Cricetulus griseus: one gene and its partner. The protein of the gene in region 1 interacts with the protein of each later gene in a pairwise test. Links are inferred from orthologs where the notes say so. Each region holds a gene or a part of one and is shown on either strand. Other genes may lie near its edges.

The links. The genes of interacting proteins can lie anywhere in the genome.
Region 2: the proteins of Camk2b (region 1) and Mrpl11 interact in binary tests that used the Homo sapiens proteins (3 or more experiments, as listed by UniProt). The two-hybrid records come from large-scale screens. The link is inferred for Cricetulus griseus from reciprocal best matches to the Homo sapiens genes CAMK2B and MRPL11.

Annotation. Positions count from the first base shown.
Region 1 is NW_023276807.1:98,857,874-98,861,434, reverse strand, and holds part of Camk2b (calcium/calmodulin-dependent protein kinase type II subunit beta), read right to left. Parts: coding exon 3,535-3,561; intron 3,462-3,534; coding exon 3,378-3,461; intron 2,889-3,377; coding exon 2,794-2,888; intron 2,676-2,793; coding exon 2,553-2,675; intron 2,270-2,552; coding exon 2,186-2,269; intron 1,526-2,185; coding exon 1,483-1,525; intron 540-1,482; coding exon 465-539; intron 1-464. UniProt on the Homo sapiens protein: Calcium/calmodulin-dependent protein kinase that functions autonomously after Ca(2+)/calmodulin-binding and autophosphorylation, and is involved in dendritic spine and synapse formation, neuronal plasticity and regulation of sarcoplasmic reticulum Ca(2+) transport in skeletal muscle.
Region 2 is NC_048596.1:54,326,631-54,330,902, forward strand, and holds the start of Mrpl11 (39S ribosomal protein L11, mitochondrial), read right to left. Parts: upstream 2,807-4,272; 5' UTR 2,717-2,806; coding exon 2,594-2,716; intron 2,270-2,593; coding exon 2,174-2,269; intron 1,676-2,173; coding exon 1,582-1,675; intron 1,499-1,581; coding exon 1,339-1,498; intron 1-1,338.

The sequences.
Region 1 (3,561 bases):
CGTAGCACAGACCACCAGATCCATCTGCCCCTAGGGAAGAACTGGCCTTGGACCTTACAGCTCCTTGGGACATCCTTACCTCCCTAACCCTGATCTAAGGGCTCCCCTTCCAGGACTGAGACCCCCCAGTAGCAGGTTCAGTGACTTCCTGTGAGGTCAGTGTCATTCTGAATTGGGTCTCCAGACTCCCAGAGGCCAGGACCAGAGGGTCTCAGCCAAATGCATCTGGGATTTGATGTGGCCTCTCCTCTTACAGACAATGAGACAGGAGCGAGGGGAAGCCTTATTGCCCAGGGTGGGGGCTCTGCTGGGATGTGACTGTGGCAGGAGCAGAGCTCCCAGGGGGCTGCCAGCCTCTGGGGAGGCTCTGGGGGGCCTGGCCAGTGGCTGCGTGCAGCAGGGGGGCTGCATGCCAACAGGAGGGATGGGCAGGAGCAGGTGGACACTGGGCAAGACACATCTACCTTGTTCCACCAGCCCCATGGTGGTGCCGGAGGCCGCGGTGGACATTGTGGCCGGAGCGGTGGTCTGTCTGCCCACTGTTAGCACCAGGTTAGAGACGAGGGGGGGAAGGGGGCGGACACAGACGGGGTGGGGCAAGGTGAGGAAAGAGAAGAGACAAAGGAAGCAGAAGAAGATTAGAGTTAAAGTTTAGGTGGGGGATGGCTCCAGAATCCCTTTCTCAGGAGAGTGAAACAAGATTGGGCCGATAGACACGGAAAAGCATTTGCCTCCTTTCTCCTTAGAACACCCCAACGGGGCTTCTTGTGCCCGATGGGGCATGCGGGGCACACAGCAGACAGGACAGTCCCATTAGTGTTGGTGTGACTGTGTGCCCATTCCCGGCAGTACAGCATCACAGCAAAGTAACAGGAGGCAGGGTACCAGATGCAGACGGACAAGGAGAGACGACCATGAACGCTCGCACACTTAGTGTCAGACGACGAAGAAGCCACAGACATAGCTGTCTGGGCACTAGGGCCAACACTGTCTCCCCAGGTGGGTCCCATGGGTCTCTAACAGACCCTTGAGACTTCATTTTCCCATCACCCACCCTGAACAACCTGGGTAGGCGGCCCGTCCAGAACTGATGAGGTTTCCCTGTGCGCGGACCTCAATTGCACCCACCCGTCTTCAGCTATCTCCCACACACAACACGATGCTTCGAGTGCCGAGGACAAGGAGGCCACAGGGCTGCCCAACAGATGCTTGGATGGATACAGGCGGCAGGCCAGGTATCGGCAGAACAGACACTGGGGCGTCAGGTGAGGGACACAGACCCAACAACATGGAGGTGGTGGGATTGGAGCGTGGCAGACCTTAGTAGCTACCCAATGAGGAAGCCAAAAGGCCTTCTGGGAAGTGGGTCTTGGAGGTGAGGGCTTGGAGGAATGGGACTGAGGGCTGGTGAGGAAGGAGGGGGCTTTCTGTAGAATGAGAGTGGCTCTGAAACATGGTCCTCCCTGGAGAAGAGTGTCTCACCTGAGAAATTCCGTGTGGCCAACATAGTGGTGAGGATGGCTCCCTAAGGAGAAACAGAGACAGAGTCACCCTGTTAGTTTCTGTATCTTGCGCGCGCATGCACGCACGCACGCATGCACGCGCGCACACACACACACACACACACACACACACACACACACACACACACACACACACACACACACACACCAGCCTTCTGGAGAAGTAAGAGTTCCAGAACCTAGCAGCACAGAGGCAAGTCACCATGTCCATAGTTAAGGCTCACACTACCCACAATCACAGCATCAAGACTCCTGAGAAATGGGCATGACCAGGAAGGCCTGCCACCATGACAGCTCCTCTGGCCCAGAGCAGTCAGGGCTATCCTTGGGACTTTGGAGAAACTCAATCAAGCAAGCAAAGGTTCGTGGGCCTAGCCCTGGCCTTGACTGGACAGCAATGATCAGGATCAGCCCTGTCTACTTGCCTCCCCAACCTGCTGAGCCCACCAGGACTGCTCTTGGCCAGTACACCTGTCCCTAGGATGCTGAAGTGGCCAGCTCTTCGTGCAGGGCCATGACCTTCTGAGCTGTCACAGCATCTGGAGTCCCTGGACTTGTAAATGGGCACAAATTTGGGGGCTCCTCCCTACGACTCTTCTCCATGTCCCACATGCAGCATGGGGCCCCCTGGGACAGGCAGATGGGGGCTGAGGCATGCTTACCTTGAGCTTCCTCCTGGCATTGAACTTCTTCAGGCATTCCACAGTCTCCTGTCTGTGCATCATAGAAGCCACTGTGGAGCGTTGCTGTCAGGAGAAGGGAAGTCACAGGGCAGTGAGGAGCAGGCTTAGGAGACTGGCTCCTGGTAGTGGCACTCTAGGGCCTGCACACTGAGTGCTGCCAGCCACCATGACAACTAGAGATCACTTGTTCCCACCTGCAGTCCCCAACTTATTCCCAAATTCAAGTCTTGTCCTTCGCAGACCAGGGGAGTGGTCAGACTCGAGGAACAGACCCCCAGAGCTATCTTGGGGGCCCTGGATATGCCCACCAGGAACTGGCCCCTAGAGGTTGCCAAGGATGACTTACGCAGACCCATGGATGCTTCAGGGCCTCATGGGCCGTGATGCGCTTGGCAGGGTTGATGGTCAACATCTGGTTGATGAGGTTTTTGGCTTCAGGAGTAACGGTGTCCCATTCGGGAGATGGGAACTACAGGAGGAAGTGGTGCACAGGGCAAGGCTGAAGCCCCTCCCCAGGCAGAGGCCATGAAGAGGAAGGGAGAACCGGGATGTGGCAGTCCCCACCCTCCGCACCGGCACCCACTCACATCATAGGCCCCAGCCTTGATCTGCTGGTACAGCTTGTGCTGGTCCTCATCCCAGAAAGGTGGGTAGCCCACCAGCAGGATGTACAGGATCACCCCTGTGGATGGGGAGGTGAGCAGCATAGCCCTGGAGGGCACCAGGGTCAGTCCTCAGTGTCCCCTTGCCCCTCCCCTGCCATGGGGAGCATGGCTCTAACAGCCTCTAATCCCTGCTCCATCTCCACCCTACTTTACTAGGGAGCCTGACCAGCCGCCTCTGCTATATGCCCACCAGAAAGAGAAGATCCCACCTAAGGAGCCTGTGGTCTGACAGCCCCTGGTCCCTGTATCCTGGTGTCCACTTGCTCTGGACACAGACCTATAATGAGCACAGGCAGACAAACATAATGGCCTGGGGCACATTGGTAATTCTAGTTGGGGTTTGAGATCCCTGCCAAGGCAGCCCAAATGCAGGTCTGACACACACACTTGGCTCAGGGTGGGACAAGCCAGCCACCTGCACACTCTGGGACAGAGGGAGTAAGCCCTGAGGTACACGACCACACATTCATCATGCAACCCAACGGCCTCTCACACACAGGTCTTACCACATGCCCAGATGTCCACAGGTTTCCCATATGCTTCCTTCCGAAGGACCTCAGGGGACAGGTAGCCCGGCGTTCCCGCAAATCCTATCAAAGGGAAAGGGACCATGAAGGGCCATGAGGAACTGCCAGTACTCCCTGCCCACCCCCTGACACTCACCAAACCACGCCTGCTGGTCTCCCTGCA
Region 2 (4,272 bases), on another chromosome or scaffold:
TGCCCTTCCCCTCTCTGGACTCCCAACTCCCATATCTCTGCTCAGGTTTCCTCTACCTGGATCCATACAGTGAGATATCGGAGACAACCACATACTCCACCTTCCCATAGCTTTGATTCCCATCTTAAGGGCCTACTTAACCAGTGGCCTCTACTCTACTACTGGGATTTACTAGACCTTCCTTTGAGCCACAAACACTTCACATGAGGGAGTCATAGGCTTGTATGTAGACACTCCCCTCTATGCCCCACAAAGTAAGGACCTGAAGAAACATCAAGGCCACCTGTGCTCTACACTGCCTCCCTGAGGATCAGCCAATACCAGCCTTGCTGTGGAGTATAACATCTGCAGCGAAGAGGCCTGTGATGACCGTCCCTGTTCCAGTCTCTGACATGGTCTGGGTCAAATGCTCTCCCACTTACAATTTACTTCAAGTAAACAATTCCTGAGATCATCCAAAGCCAGCTGACTGGGACAGCTGTTGGCCTTAGGATGGAGTCTGAATGTGAGACAGCTCAAAAGATCCTCCCCGACTGCTCCCTGCTTCAGATCATGCCCCACTCGGCCTCTAGACAAGACTCCTGTAGCTTCAGCCCCTTACCTCTCATTATTCACTGCAATTTTCCCACTTTTTGGAACATTGCTCCTTTACCCTCCTTTTCCTGGGCTGTTTTGATGTCATCTCCTTCAAAGAGTCCTCACTGACACACCAGGTAAAAGCAGGAACTCTCCTCTCTGCTTTCATGACATCCACTGATTTTTTAAACAACACTGACCAAATGCCAGTTTAATTCTCTATGTATGGATCTGCCTCTACCTTAGGACTATACATTTTTCCAGAGTGGCCAAATACTACTGCTCATTTCTGGTTATATCCAATGTGCTGAACCATGTCTAGCACATAACAGGGGCTTATGAAGCATATTCCAAATGAACAGAAGAGGCTTTCACCCATATCCTTCTGCTAGAATCTCAGGTCCTTCGACTTAAAAACTCTACATGTAGCCGGGCAGTGGTGGCACATGCCTTTAACCCCAGCACTTGGAGGCAGAGGCAGGTAGATCTCTGAGTTCGAGGCCAGCCTGGTCCAGAGAGCCAGTTCTTGGACAGCTAGGGACACACAGAGAAACCCTGTCTCAAAAAAACAAACAAACAAAACAAAACCCAAACAAAAAAACAAAAACTCTACATGTATAAAAATATCATAATGAAAGCTATCATGTATAACTAATACATGCTATAAAATTTTTTTAAACCTGACTATTTCACTATAATGGGCCCTCTCACTTTACTCCCAAATAGGAGCTTCCTTTCCACAGCACCGTTCAGGATACTCACTCTTTCACCACACGAATGCCCAGGGAACGGGCAGAGCCAATGATGGAACGGACAACAGAAGACAGGGGCACATCTTGCAGGGCGAAAGCATCATCCTTAGCTTTGACACAGGCAATCTCATATATGTGCTTCAAACTCACCAGGCCTGCTACCTCTTTCCCTGGGAAGAAGGAACAAGCTCCAGTTGTCACTACTTTTTTTTCTGGACACATCAGAATCTCAGGCACCCACTCTAGTCCTTACCTGTTTGTCGGGCCCCCTTCTCAATCCCAGCTGCTGCCTTCAAGAAGTAGGAAATAGTGGGTTGCCCAATCTTAAGCTCAAATGTCCTGTCAGGCTTGATAGAAAGAAAGATATTGAGAATTTCTTGGTTTTCTATTCAGGTTCAGGGAATTTGTAATGTCCCTTTTCTTCTCAAATCAACTTGCCTTCCTGTGGTGTCTTTAACACCACAAAACCATAGCACACATCTATGAAATGAAAGATATGAGCCAAAATATAGTAGGACTGGGCTGGAGAGATGGCTCAGAGGTTAAGAGCACTGACTGCTCTTCCAGGGGTCCTGAGTTCAATTCCCAGCAACCACATGGTGGCTCACAACCATCCGTTATGAGATCTGGTGTGCAGATATACATGGAAGCAGAATGTTGTATACATAATAAATAAAATCTTTAAAAAAATATGGTAGGACTAAGACGGTTCAGAGAAATTATGGTTGAGGTTTCACTGTGTAGATGAGGAAAGTGGAGAGTGACAACCAGGTTAGGGACAGAGAAGCAACCCCGGGCGACTAGTTTTAAGCGCCAAAGAAGACTACAGAACAATGAGACTGCACCTTCACAAAAATCTTTGTAGGCAGGGGAATGCCTTCTTTGATGTCCTTTGTCTTCTCGTTGAACTCTTTGCAGAACTGGTTGATAGAGACGCCTCGCTATGAGGAAAGCATAAAGTTAAGTGTAGGAGTTAAAGGGTTTCTACCACCCAGGAGCCCGTCCCTTCCCTCCTTCGTCTTCATTTCCCGTGTTCCTATATTTCTTCTATCCGGATTCAATTACAGCTTCGTGTCTGGACGATTCGTCCACAAGGTCCCACTTAATCAGCAACTAGCCAACTGGGAAGGGTCAGAGAAACTGAGGTCAACAGAGGCTACGTAAGCAACACAAAGACACAAGGCGTGCGGGTGCGAAGAGCCGCGACTTCCCATCTATCCGCTACCGCCTTCCGTGTCCCCCGGGCCCGGTTCCAGACACTACACCTGCCCCAAGATGGGACCTAGTGGGGGCCCAGGCATAGCTTGGCCTGCTCGCACGATAGCCCGGACCACGCCACCAGCCTCCGGCTTCCTGAGGGCCCGAGAGACTCGGCTTAGCTTCGACATGATGCGGGATTTTCAGTCTTAGTTCGCCTTGGAGCAGCAAGAGCTACGCTCTGGGCGCTGCCATTTTGGGTCAGAGGTCACGGGTCCTCACGTTAGGCTAGGGTGAGGCCAGCAAAGAACAGCCTAGTTTCAGTCACACAACTCTCCAACCAAAGACGGGATAAGGAATCAAAAATATCTAAACTTTGCGCTATGAAGACAGGAAGAGAACCTGTACGGCTTCGGTCCACACAAACCCTCAGGAGTGCGCACAGGCACTAGATTAGACAGCCAAACAGGAGTGCGGGACCTTGATTCTCCGCACGGCATTGTGGGCTGTGTAGTTTCGGCGCCTTCTTCTGCGCCTGCTGTTAGCTGTGCTCTGGGTCGCCATCTGTCGGACACAGTATTATCTTAGTGTTTGAAATGGAGCAAGCAAGGGACTCCAAGTGGGAGTCCCTCGGGTCTTTTTGTTCCTCATGTAGTTTCACGTATGGAGTGGGAACAAACCGACAGACCGCTGCTCTTTCTGGCTAAGAACTTGAGCCATATCAGACAGAATTGGGTTCAGGTTAGAATGTCCTGTTTCATCCTCTGTACAACGGATGTTATAGATGCCTTTCGGAATTAATTGTGACAGCTCAATAGCACACTGCCTAGAACAACACTTGAACCCGGAAAGCAGTTACTGTTATTTGTACAAAGGAAAGGGATCAGCTTTTTGCAACCTTACCCCAATCAAACATGATTTCTTGGCAGCTCCTTGGGCATACTTTATTGCTCCCCTGACCTTCAGTTTTTTTATTAGAAGCAGATTTTACTGTATGTGTTTCAGCACTCTGCATCCTGCCCCAACTCTCCAGGGCTACTTGTCATTCGTTGCTTTCTAGTGAATGGCATTTGAAGCCTGGGGTTTTGAAGCCTTTGTTATCACTCCCTTGGGCAACCTTGTGTACCTATGCTCTTTGGTATAGCAACGGCCTTGGAAGACTCTGACTGACTCTCCTTGAGCACATCTAGCTATGAAGCTCCACGAATTGTAGGCTTAAGTTTTTATTTTCCACAATAGTCCAGAGTGTAAAGTTCTGCATAAGCTGATGCCCAGCCCCCAGACTGAGACTACTTTGAAGTAACTATCCACTAAATCCGTGTTTGAGATCCTTCAGATTCCAGGAGGATTCTTTGGTTCTTTTTACAATTTCTCTCAGGCCAAAAGGCAGCTTATTGTATAGCATATACCTCCAGACCCTATCAGCTTGCCCTGAACGGCCTCTCACAACCCTCCACTGTTTTTCCTTCTTTTTCCATTTCCTTGTGTGTGCAGTGTGGGTGTGGGTGAGTAGGTGTGCTTGCAAACGTGTGCATGTGCATGTGGAGGGCTGATGTTGATCCTCTTCCATTGCTCTTCTGCCCTAACACTGAGGCAGTGTCTCTTACGCAACCCAGAGCTTGCAGGTATGGTCCGTCTTGTTAGCCAGCTTGCTCTGGGGTTCCTCTGTTAGGCTGGAATTACAGGTAGATCACCATGCCCAGCTGGTATTGACGTGGGTTTGTTGAGATCCAACCTCTGGCCCTCA